2 linked regions of the Caenorhabditis elegans genome follow. The protein of the gene in region 1 interacts with the protein of each later gene in a pairwise test. Each region holds a gene or a part of one and is shown in the gene's direction. Other genes may lie near its edges.

Region 1 (6,682 bases):
ACTGAAGACGAACTTCCTCCTGCGAGGCTACCGGATAATGTGCGAAGATTTCCAGTCGTCGGCGTTGATTTCGAAAATCCGGAAGAAGAATCGTGTGAACACAAAACCGTAGAGTCAATAGCTGGTTTTGAACCACTCGAACATCTATTCCATGAATCATACCATCCAAATACGGCCGGTAACATGCTGCGTCAGGATTATCACACTGATTCGGTGAATTTGGTTTGAAATTTTAAATTTTGGAATTGAAAGTGAACTTTTTATATTATATGCGGGACCCCTCAATCTACTCACCTTCCTAGGTGTAATTTTTCTAATAATTATTCCTATTGCTATAGTTTCTAATTATATTTCTATATTATCAATATTATAATGTTTCCTCGCTGAAAACCTGCGTATTCATTCGTTGCCAGTGGTAAGTTATATTAATTTTCATTCAGATTTTTAGAGAAATATTTTGAGTATTTAGCTATCGTTATTAAAATAATGATTTTCGTATTGTTCTTAACATTCTGTTAGGTGACTATTTTCTTGTATCGTTGAAGTCCATGCTTCAAAAACAACGACTTTTTTGGCTTAAATACGCTTTCAACGTCGAAAATATTGCCTTAACATCACTTTGGGCAAATTTCTTATTTTGAATTCGATATGCTCGTTTTATTAGCTTCCAGAAAATATAACATTCGACCCATAACTCTCTGATCACCAAAAATAAGAACTCCTAGTAAGATCAAAAACTATCGGGAAATGTTGAATGTATTTTCAATATTTAACTTTCAGGAAGTGAAAATAGCTGAACAAGAGGCAAAAGCCTTCGTTGACCAGTTGCTTAATGGACAAGGTGTATTACAAGAGTTTATGAAGCAATTCAAAGTACCATCGGACAATTCCTTTGCTGATTATGTAACCGGACAGGCCGAAGTTTTTAAAGCACAGATTGCGTTACTGGAGCAGTCGGAGGATTTTCAACGAGTTCAAGCGAATGCAGAGGAAGTCGATCTTGAACACACTCTTGGTGAAGCGTTTGAGCGATTCGGGCACGTTGTAGAAGAATCGAATGGTTCTTCTAAAAATCCAAAAGCCCTGAAAACTCGAGAACAAATGGTGAAAGAAACTGGCAAAGACACTCAGAAGACCCGCAATCATGTGCTTCTACATTTGGAAGCTAATCATCGTGTGGTGAGTAATCTTTTTTATTTTTTATTATGTGATTAAAATGTTAATTTTTCAGCAAATCGAGCGTCGTGAAACGTGCCCGGAGCTACATCCAGAGGATAAAATCCCAAGAATTGCTCATTTTTCCGAAAACAGCTTCTCGGATTCGAATTTTGATCAAGCTATTTATTTGTAAACCTAAAACAAAACTTTTAGAAGATTTTCTTCTTACTGACCCTCCAATTTTCAGATAATTTCAATGTTTTAAGTTTTCTCTTCAAAGTATCATTCACTTTCTGTATAGTGTTTTGTTTTTTAACAAACTATTGTTCGATTATTTTGTATATTCATATTATAGCTCTCAACTTCCCGATTTTCCACGTATATATGTATATTTTGCCGGGTGAAAAATAGCAATTCCCTATGAATGTATCCCCTTCCATCTGTTTTCTTACTCAGAAATTGTAATTCACATTGCGGGTCATCACTAATCCTATGGGCTTTAACACAATTCTCCCATAAATTAATTGTACTTACCAATTTTTTGTTTAATTATTTAGATTTGTAACATTGAAATTGGTGATAATTCCAAAGAAAAATTATATTCTCCGATACATAGAATCTAGGCGCATTCGAATTTACATTGTTTTTCTAAAATTTCAGTTAAAAAATGAGCGCAGATGAGCCGTCTCCAGAAGACGAAAAATATCTGGAAAGTCTACGAGATTTGCTGAAAATCAGCCAAGAATTCGATGCAAGTAACGCAAAACAGAATGACGAACCAGAAAAAACAGCAGTTGAAGTGGAATCGGCTGAAACCAGAACCGACGAATCTGAAAAATCAATCGATATTCCACGTGAACAGCAACTTTTACCCTCCGAACGTGTTGAGCCTTTAAAATCAATGGTGGAACCAGAATACGTGAAAAAAGTGATAAGGCAAATGGATACAATGACTGCTGAACAGCTAAAACAAGCGTTGATGAAGATTAAAGTGTCCACAGGGTAAAATTATGCTAAATTCATTCAAACTTCTTATTTTCCTAACAGAACCCAATTTCGTACATTTAAGATATAGCTTTGCTTCATTTTTGATAGTTTTGTTAAAAAGAAACAGCATTTTTTGAATCATTTTGCGTTAAATATAGTCATCCGTAAAAGAAATAATGTAATTTTCTTACTAAAATTTCGAAATTAACTTAAATTATAACTCTAATTTCAGCGGAAACAAGAAAACTCTTCGAAAACGGGTTGCACAATATTATCGAAAGGAAAATGCATTATTGAATCGAAAAATGGAGCCGAATGCCGATAAAACTGCACGCTTTTTTGACTATTTAATTGTATGATTTTCAGAATTTCTGGAAAAGAAATACTTTAGTTATTAATTATTTCAGGCAATTGATTTCGAGTGTACGTGCGTCGAGATTATATACGATTACCCACACGAAATCATCGAATTACCGGCAGTTTTGATCGACGTTCGGGAAATGAAAATTGTAGGATTTTTTCATCTTTGAAAATGGAATATGTCGAATTACGCATGTCGTGTACTCCCCGCGGACAAGGATTGAACAGTTCTCAGTTGAAATTCTTGATTTTGGATTTTTCCTCTGGGGTTTCGGCTCGAATTTTATTTTTTTTTTTCGTGTTTTCCCGCAAGAAAATCATTTTTTCCGGGAAAAGGTGACAAACGTTTCGTCATCCTATCGAAATCTGGAATATAAAAATGTATTCAACAAAAAACGTTTCAAATACAACATTTTTCGTCTTTTTTGGGTTTCTTATTTAGCTATAAAATTTGTTTCGCTTGTGAAGAAAATATTGGAAAAAAATAGAAAAATCCTTCTCCCATTTTTCAATTTAAGGCAGATGGAAGTTCTTTGGTGTATTATCAAGTTATAAAAACTGACTAAACTGAAAGCTTTTTTTGTTTTGTTTTGTTTATTTATTTTAGGAATATAAATAAAAAACGAAAAATATATAACTTTATAATATCCATCGTCAAAATAAGCATATTTAATTTCCAGATCAGCGAGTTTCGAACCTATGTCCGACCTGTCAGAAATCCGAAGCTCAGCGAATTTTGTATGCAGTTTACCAGTAAGACACTAATGTCATTTTTAAAATGTAAACCCTGTTGTAGAAATTGCCCAAGAAACAGTCGATGCTGCTCCATATTTCCGAGAGGCTCTTCAACGGCTGTACACATGGATGCGAAAATTCAATCTCGGACAGAAAAATTCCAGATTCGCATTTGTTACTGATGGGTAAGGAATCGAAGACGATTTTTTGTTCACTAAAACTTCAAAGTTGTGCATAACGAACTATTCAGACCTCACGATATGTGGAAATTCATGCAATTTCAATGCCTTTTATCGAATATTCGAATGCCCCATATGTTCCGAAGTTTTATCAACATCAAAAAGACATTCAAAGAGAAATTCAATGGACTTATCAAGGGAAATGGAGTAAGTTTTTAAGGTTCAAATTTTAATTAAAACCTCAATTCTCTTCAGAAATCCGGAATTGAAAACATGTTAGAACGTCTGGATCTGTCGTTTGTTGGAAATAAACATAGTGGATTGGATGATGCAACGAATATTGCAGCGATTGCGATTCAAATGATGAAGTTGAAAATTGAGTTGAGAATTAATCAGAAATGCTCGTATAAGGAGAATCAACGGAGTGCTGCGCGAAAGGATGAAGAGCGAGAGGTTCGAAACAGACTACGTCGTTTTCACCCGATGGGTTGACTCTCCCATTCGGTCTCGGGTGTCAACAAGTGATTCCATGTTTTGAAAAAAGCTCTTCCCTCAACCCTTAAAATTTCGATATGAAATTGTTTCAGTGCATTTTTCACTAATTTGGAGACCTGTTGAATTGCTCTAAATGTTTTTTTGCAAAGTTCAATGTTTTTCAGAACGGTTATAAGTAGGTGAACACTCTGGGAGATTTTTGGACTTTTTTTTGTTGTGAAAATCTGAACATTTTTGGATCAAGTGGAGTGAAGAAACTTTCAGATTTTTTTCAAAAAATTACAAATTTTTGAAAAATCTCCCAGAGTGTTCACCTACTTCTAAACGTTCTGAAAAAACATTAAAGTTTGAAAAAAACGCATTTGGAGCAATTCTACAGGCCTCCAAAGTAGTGAAAACAGGCACTGAAACAATTCCAGATCGAAATGAAGTCTGACGATAAAATGGAAACCTTTCCTTCTTGTTAGGAAAATTAGGAAATAGTTCATCACAAATTTCAATTAAAAAGTTATTAAATTTTTCAGTTAGAAGACGCTGCAAACGTGGATCTTACATCAGTCGATATCTCTCGTCGTGATTTTCAACTTTGGATGCGTCGTTTACCACTGAAACTGTCCTCTGTGACACGACGAGAGTTCATAAATGAAGAGTATTTGGATTGTGATTCATGTGATGATTTGACTGATGATAAGGTGAAACATCTACATTCTTGTGATATTTATGAAATTTTCGATGAAAAAACTTCAGCTAGTTTTACAGATTCAAAGTGTTTGATTTGCTAGGCGAATTTTGGCAAAAGTATACTTATTGATGTAAACATTTTCCCTATCAATTTTGTGTCTTAGCCAACGAATTTCCAAATTTTATTTCAAAAGTAAAATTCCATGTCAAATTTTACATTTTTAGTTTAAAAATTATGTTTCTTCCAAGCCCACATTTTTCATTGAAACTGGTATAGTTGTATTTGATTCGCCCCGAATAAATAATTTTCTGTTTCCATGTTTTATACACACAAAAACTCAAAATTTTCAGAACGACGAGGCGGCATTCCAGGAAAAAATGGCAATTCGAGAGTATTTGGAGAATAAACAGACGGAAGATTTCGCGAAAATTGCTGCTGAGCGGGGAATTTTTAAAATTGGGTAATGGACTTTGGATGGAATTTTGAACAAAAAAATCTAGTTTCTGGCGTTTTCAGTGAAATAAAATCATATCAAACTGCAAGACCGATAATAGAGGATGATGACGTGGATGTTGAAAGTGAAGAGGAAGATTATGGAACTGAATTTGAAATGTTGGAAGTTGTGGTGAGAATGTTGAGAAAAAACACTTCAAAAATATCAATTTTGTTTTTAAAAATCAACGCCACGATTCGATGAATCGAAATTCAAAAATTCTCCGAAAAAGCGGAAAACTCTGCTTTTGAAATCAGAAATTTGCAATGTTTTCCGGGATAATCGAAAATTTCTTTCAAAAAAAAATTAATGTAGGTATAAATTTCAGATTCATCGTGGTGTGGATTTTAAAAATCCGCGAGAGAAAAAAATTCTGAATAACTAAGCTTTTCGATTTTCGTATAATACAAAACCGAACTTTTATTTTGTTTTCAAATTTTAATAAAATTCGAGCAAAAAACCAAATCGATTTGGAGTTTTAATAATTAATTTTTTCGTTCAGGAAAGAATGCCTCCAGTTAGTTCTACGTTACACACTGAAGTCGATTTAGATGCTGTATGGGAACGAGATGGTGGAAGTGATTCTGAAAGAGGTACGTCGAGGGAATTGCAATATGGAAATTGCATTAGAAAAAGCTTGAAATTCTGTTTGATTAAAATGTCAATTCAATTGCTCCCAAAGTTTAAATTATTGAATAGCACTTAAAAAACATAATTGTGAAAATTCAGAAAACCTCTCAAATGCTCCAAGTCTCCACGAGTTTCCATCGTCATCCACATCATCACCACATGCCACGTCAGAACATGTGACGTCATCATCACCACTTCATATCGACGATGACGTGGACCGCGTGTTGAATGCGCCGCCCAAAAATTCGTTGGCATCGTCTTCAAATCGATCTAGTTTCTAGATTTTCTTGTATACGAATTTAATTATTTTTGCAGGTTTTGTAGTATTCGAGTATTTCATTTTCATTTTTGATCTCAATTTTTTTTCGCTCCAATCTTTTTTCTCCTTTAAATCGCGTTTATATGAAATTTGTCACATGTTTTATTTAGGTTATACACGGATGACGTTTCAGATGGTATTTATTTGTATTTCTTTTGGAAACCCGTTGAAAATAGGAAAAAACAACAATAATGTACAGAAAATGATAGGAAATGAGAAGAATGAGCAGTTAAACTAGTTATTTGTTGCCCGACACATTTGAAATCCCCACGAAGCCAGGAGAAGCCACATTGGCAAAAAAACCATCCCATACGTATTCCGATTTGCAACTTCTGATTTCTCCAACTCTCCACTGATTTTTTCAACGATGAAGTATATGAAGAGCGTGATGCATGTGAGACGGAATATGTTGAGAATTACTCTGAAAAAAAAATATATATTGCATGTTCAATTTTGAATTTTCTGTTTTCACAGATGATTCGCATTTGGTCTGTCGCAAGTAGGAACACGTAATTTGCGTTCAACGGGCTATAATTTCGCAGTTATGTATTCCTACGGACTGGTCTCGCCACGATCTTTCCGGCGGCCGCTTCATTTTAATAAGAGTTTCAGAGTTGTAAAACCATTTTTGGAAAGACCACAAG
Region 2 (4,860 bases), on another chromosome or scaffold:
TTCAAATATAAAAATTTCAGAACTAATTTTCGATATTTAAAACATGCTGGAAACTATCTAATTTCCTAGAAAACATCTTGATAATTAAAAATATCTTTTTCTGGAACACAACCCTTGAAAATGGGTTCTTCGTATGATTTTAAAACCTCATCGGAACACAGAATTTGATATGAATTCCCATAGCAAGTCTGTTTTGAAGCATTGAGTGGCATCTAGGTCTAGAAATTGGAATGGAGAGCACTAGAGCGTGAGAACCGTCCACATACACAAACACATATAAACGTCCTCCTATTGTCCATTTCTGAAACCCAATTGGTGAAAAAGTAAGAGAGAGAGAGGGACACCAAAAGAGAAATTGTGGTGAAGGGAAGAGTGGTGGTAGTGGGTGCAACTATCTCTGGGTTCTCCGAGAATTCAGTGCTCCGTGCTCCTCTAGCTTGGCTCCGCGACGTCTTCTGCTACTCCGTCCTCAATTTTTGCGAAGGGGGGAGTGGCGAATAGGGGGTAGAGAGCGGGAGCAGAAGAAGAAGAAAGCACAAGCTCATCCAGTCGCCGTCTCCACACTCTCCGTTATACTTATTCCGGTTCTCTGCGTCTATTAGTTTGAATCACTATCTCACTGGTTTCTTTAGTATATACTCCAAAAAATGCTACTTTTTCGCGCATTTTGCGTTCGTTTCTTTTTTTGGACTTTCTTAATCAACTTTTTTTGTGGTTTGATCAAGATTTTTTCGTTTAGGTTTGGAATTTTAGACAAAAATTATATTAAAGAGTTTACAGCTTTTTTGTCCATAAGAAGTTCATGTTGAAGTTTTGTTTTTTTATTGTAAAAATAATGTAGCACCAGTCAGGATTTTGTCAAAATCAAAAATAAAAGTGCTTAAATGAGACCCTAAAAAATTGTTTCAGATTTTTCAAATGTTCAGTCAAAATGATGTTATACTGCCAAAATTTAATTTTGCAAACTCTTTAATTTTTTTGACTGGTAACAAAAATTTCGTTTTTTTAATTTCGTTTTTTTTTTTTTTTTTTTGAAAAAATTTTCACTATGTTCCACTTTTGAATGTTAAAATCACTGAGTTACTAACACATTCTTGAAATTTTCTCATTTAAAGAATAAAAACAACTTTGACAAGAGAAAGAAGTAAAACAATATAGTTTTTCTAAACTTGTATTTACTTTTTAACCCAGTTTTTCGTATTTCATAGTAAAAAAAGTATAGAAAAAAGTGATGCATTTTTCATTATAATGCAGAAGGCACCTCGAGGCTATACGCATTTTCTTAGCAAAAAAAGGAGCTCATTTTTTCTGTATTTTATGACTTTTCATCATGTCATGCATATAATTTTTTATTCATTGTTATGTAGGAATTGAGAGTTTTGTTTTTAATTTAATTTTTATATAAAATTAAGGGGCTTTGAACACGTTCTATCTATAACTTTCTTTGAACAAAAACTACAAAACACAAATTTCAAAGATCTCTGGATCTGTCTGATTAGGCTGTTAGTTCTTTTGAACTTACTTACTTCTGCTTAATCCAATTATTTGTACCACTCATCACTGACCTTCAGTTTAACTTTTGTCTATAGGTTAAACTTGATCTCAAGCTTTAACTCTGCACCAGGAACTTGAACCTAAACCTGATCTCTAATTGATTCGCTAAAACCTTAAAATTCTGAAAATCCTGATCCAAAAACTCTCCAGGAGACCAAGTTGTTCTCGGCATTGGAACAACTGGTCGGCGGCGCGTACCCATCTGGGGAGGCCGCTTCCTCTTCAACCATCGCCCAAGAATATGCCACGTTTCAACAATCAGAAGGGATGGATGACGTTGGAGATTACAATGATGATCAACTTTCAGATGGCATGAGCATGAGGTTGCTCTGCATTACCAGTGAGTTGTTATTTGTGTTCTTCTTGCCGTCTCGAGAATACATATATACGAGACCATCGACACTCAGTTATGGACGAGATGTTAACATTGATTGTTTCAGTTAAAAAAGCACGACTTCAAGGAGCTGTCGGTGAGTATTTCTATTGATTTTATAACTTAAAATATATAGTTCAGTTTTCATTTAAAATAATTTATTTCGTTTGAAAAATACTGGAAATTCCCTGAAACTTGAAGTAGATAATGTAACAAATATTCTGAGAGTTCTGCCAATTTTTTGAAAAAAATCTGAAAATGTAACAGTGTGCCAGTACTGTTACAATTAGTCTCGATGACCATAGAACCAAAAGATGCTCCTGCTCCAAATACTTTTAAAAAATCATAGTCAGAGCTAACTGAAAATCAAGTGGCTCTTCCACTTTATGAATCATCACTTTATCTCAACAAAAAACTATTAACTTGCCAGATGTCTGAAATGTGGATCTGACTTTTTTTAAATGAAATGTCCACCTCCTTTGGGTGAAAGACTAAAAAATCTGAATAAATCCCTTTCTGCAAATCGAGAAACGATCATGCGTGGCGTTGCTCCGATTTGTAGTTGTCGCCTGAGAAATTCATCATTCGTGACACCTGTCATTCCAGTTTCACGGGGCGACCTCCCGAATAATAAATCTCATCGTGAAACGCGCGTTTTCATGCTTCGATGACACACGAAATAATGCACAACTTATACCTCAACATCACGTACAAGATGTGCTTAGTATTCTGAATGTATGTGTATGCACCCGCCTCTTCTATTTTCCCATCCCTTTTTTTTGGCAAATTTTAATCAAATTTTGGGACCTTTTTAGAGTAAGATAAGAGAAAAGAGTCGTTGAAGAGGCAGGAAAAGTTTAACTACATTCGTGAGCAAGTGAGTAAGTAAAAAGTAAGAAACCGGAAAAAAGTTGCCAGGAAATTAAACATAGAAGCACCGGGGGCACCTCTAAACAAGAGAGTAAGTCACTGGGGAAAACGTTTGAAATGGAATGACGAATGAATGAGGGCACCGGAGACGAAACAAGATACGGTGGACTGGAAGCTTAAAGACCAAGAAAAATGAAATGAAACTTAAACTTTGTTATTTATCATGTACGTTAAGCTCAAGAAAAAATTATGGAATTAAAATTTTAAAAAATTATTAAAAATTAAGCGAAACATATATTTCCAATGCTTTTGAAATAATTTTTGATATTTCATTTAATTTTGAGAATATAGAACAAATGTTTTCGTTTTTTTAAGTATTAGTAGTAAAGAATGTGTCTGAAGTTACACATATAGTTCGAAAAACCCCACATTCTAAACGTAAGTTGACAAAATCCCGCTAAAAGTACCCCATCTTTAAAGCATATAGTAAGAGCATATAGTAATAGTAAGAATACAACCAGCTTGTTCAAAAAATTTAACAAATCGTTCAATGTTTAGTAGCTTTTTACATTTACTATAAATCTCATGAGAAAGAACTTTAAAGATTCTTGATCTTTCACTCAAGTTTGAGCCAGAAATTGAGTTATAATTCACGTTGTTCTCTTTTTTTTTTTCTTTTCAACTAAAAAAAATATAGCTTCTTTTTTTATTGTTCCCCTGGGTACAAAAGTTTAACTGAGCGTCCCAGTAATTTTCATGAGAGCATATTTATAGTTAACGTGTTACATTCTAACTCTTGTTTTAGGACCCAATTGTTTTCAACTGTCCCATTTTTAGGATTAGCCAATAAGTTGTCCAGCAGTAAAAAAATTTTGAAGTTGCGATTTTATTTAGGATTGGAGAGATTTTGCAGATTTATAATCTTCTCTAGATTTTTTCAAATTTCTTTTTGGAAATGAAATCTCAACAACTTTTCACCTTCGTTTTACCAAAGTCTTATCAAGTTTTGATTTTTAAAATTTTGATTATCAAAACTTGGATTGAGTTGAAATTTTCTATAAATTTTAAAGAGGTTTTGTACAAGCATTAACGTTTCGCGCCCTCCCTATCATTAGAGCATGTTTTTTTTCAGTTTTTAAATTTTTGAAAAACAATTTAAATGCCTGATCTCAGATGAATTCAACTCGTACGTGACGGTGAAGCTGCAGACTGTAAAATCAACAACTGTGGCTGTGCGTGGCAACTTACCATGCTGGGAGCAGGAATTCATTTTGTAAGTTGTCATTGACAGGTGAAATACGGTAAAGGAGACCGATTTTTGTAAATGTTATAAAAAAAGAACAGCTGAAAATAGTAATATTTGATATTATGGAAGGAAAAATACCATTATGCGTAAATTGGTGTTATTTTGCCTCCTTTTTTTAGTTTTGGAACGTTTTACTTGTTTTTTTTTCATTACACTTACAATTATTTTATTAAAATAACAACAATTATATTTGAAAACCAATTAATCAAACATTAAGGTTTCAGCTAAACCACATCACCTCATATTTAATTAATTATTTCAGTGAAACAAATCGACCTGACGACGGAATGGTACTCGAATTATGGGCCAAAGGCGTTTTATGGGACAAATTAATAGGTGTTCATTATATGCCACTTTCGGAGATTAGATACAGGTAAAATTTTTTTTTAATTTCCAGTCGTCAGTTAAAATCACTCTAAAACCAATACTAAAATGGCAACATACTTTAATACAATTTTACGAAAAAATATGAACGTTTCTTATTTACAATGGAAAAGTGCAATTATTCAGTTTTCGCCACCTATAATTGTCGTAATTGAGCGGAAGTGGTTTCTAACTTTTAAAATTAATGTATCAGTTTTCTAAAAATACCCCATTGATTTTCAGCAATGCAGCAGGTTCGGGTCAATGGCTTCAAATGGATCATGAACTTGAAACAAGAAATGGTCAAACTGTAGGAACACGTGGTCCAACAGGTCATAACTTGTTGACTGATGTTCGATTTGAGCTTCCTTTTGGTGAGTGGTTGTTATTCAGA

Evidence for each region. Proteins that work in one complex are often made in the same cells at the same time.
Region 2: the proteins of eri-1 (region 1) and unc-13 interact in a two-hybrid assay, tested with the Caenorhabditis elegans proteins (one study listed by BioGRID).

What each region holds. Positions count from the first base shown.
Region 1 is NC_003282.8:415,095-421,776, reverse strand, and holds eri-1 (3'-5' exonuclease eri-1), read left to right. Parts: upstream 1-1,818; 5' UTR 1,819-1,825; coding exon 1,826-2,160; intron 2,161-2,377; coding exon 2,378-2,498; intron 2,499-2,552; coding exon 2,553-2,654; intron 2,655-3,185; coding exon 3,186-3,258; intron 3,259-3,301; coding exon 3,302-3,425; intron 3,426-3,490; coding exon 3,491-3,626; intron 3,627-3,674; coding exon 3,675-3,872; intron 3,873-4,438; coding exon 4,439-4,606; coding exon of another isoform or gene 4,607-4,696; exon of another isoform or gene 4,697-4,909; intron 4,910-4,946; coding exon 4,947-5,056; intron 5,057-5,112; coding exon 5,113-5,221; intron 5,222-5,591; coding exon 5,592-5,682; intron 5,683-5,818; coding exon 5,819-6,000; 3' UTR 6,001-6,142; downstream 6,143-6,682. Other genes in the region: Phosphatidylinositol 3,4,5-trisphosphate 3-phosphatase and dual-specificity protein phosphatase daf-18, read left to right, coding at 1-213, 781-1,179, 1,232-1,351; T07A9.12 (uncharacterized protein), read right to left, coding at 6,273-6,459.
Region 2 is NC_003279.8:7,420,964-7,425,823, forward strand, and holds the start of unc-13 (Phorbol ester/diacylglycerol-binding protein unc-13), read left to right. Parts: upstream 1-1,821; coding exon 1,822-1,894; intron 1,895-1,994; coding exon 1,995-2,024; intron 2,025-3,970; coding exon 3,971-4,070; intron 4,071-4,365; coding exon 4,366-4,476; intron 4,477-4,709; coding exon 4,710-4,840; intron 4,841-4,860.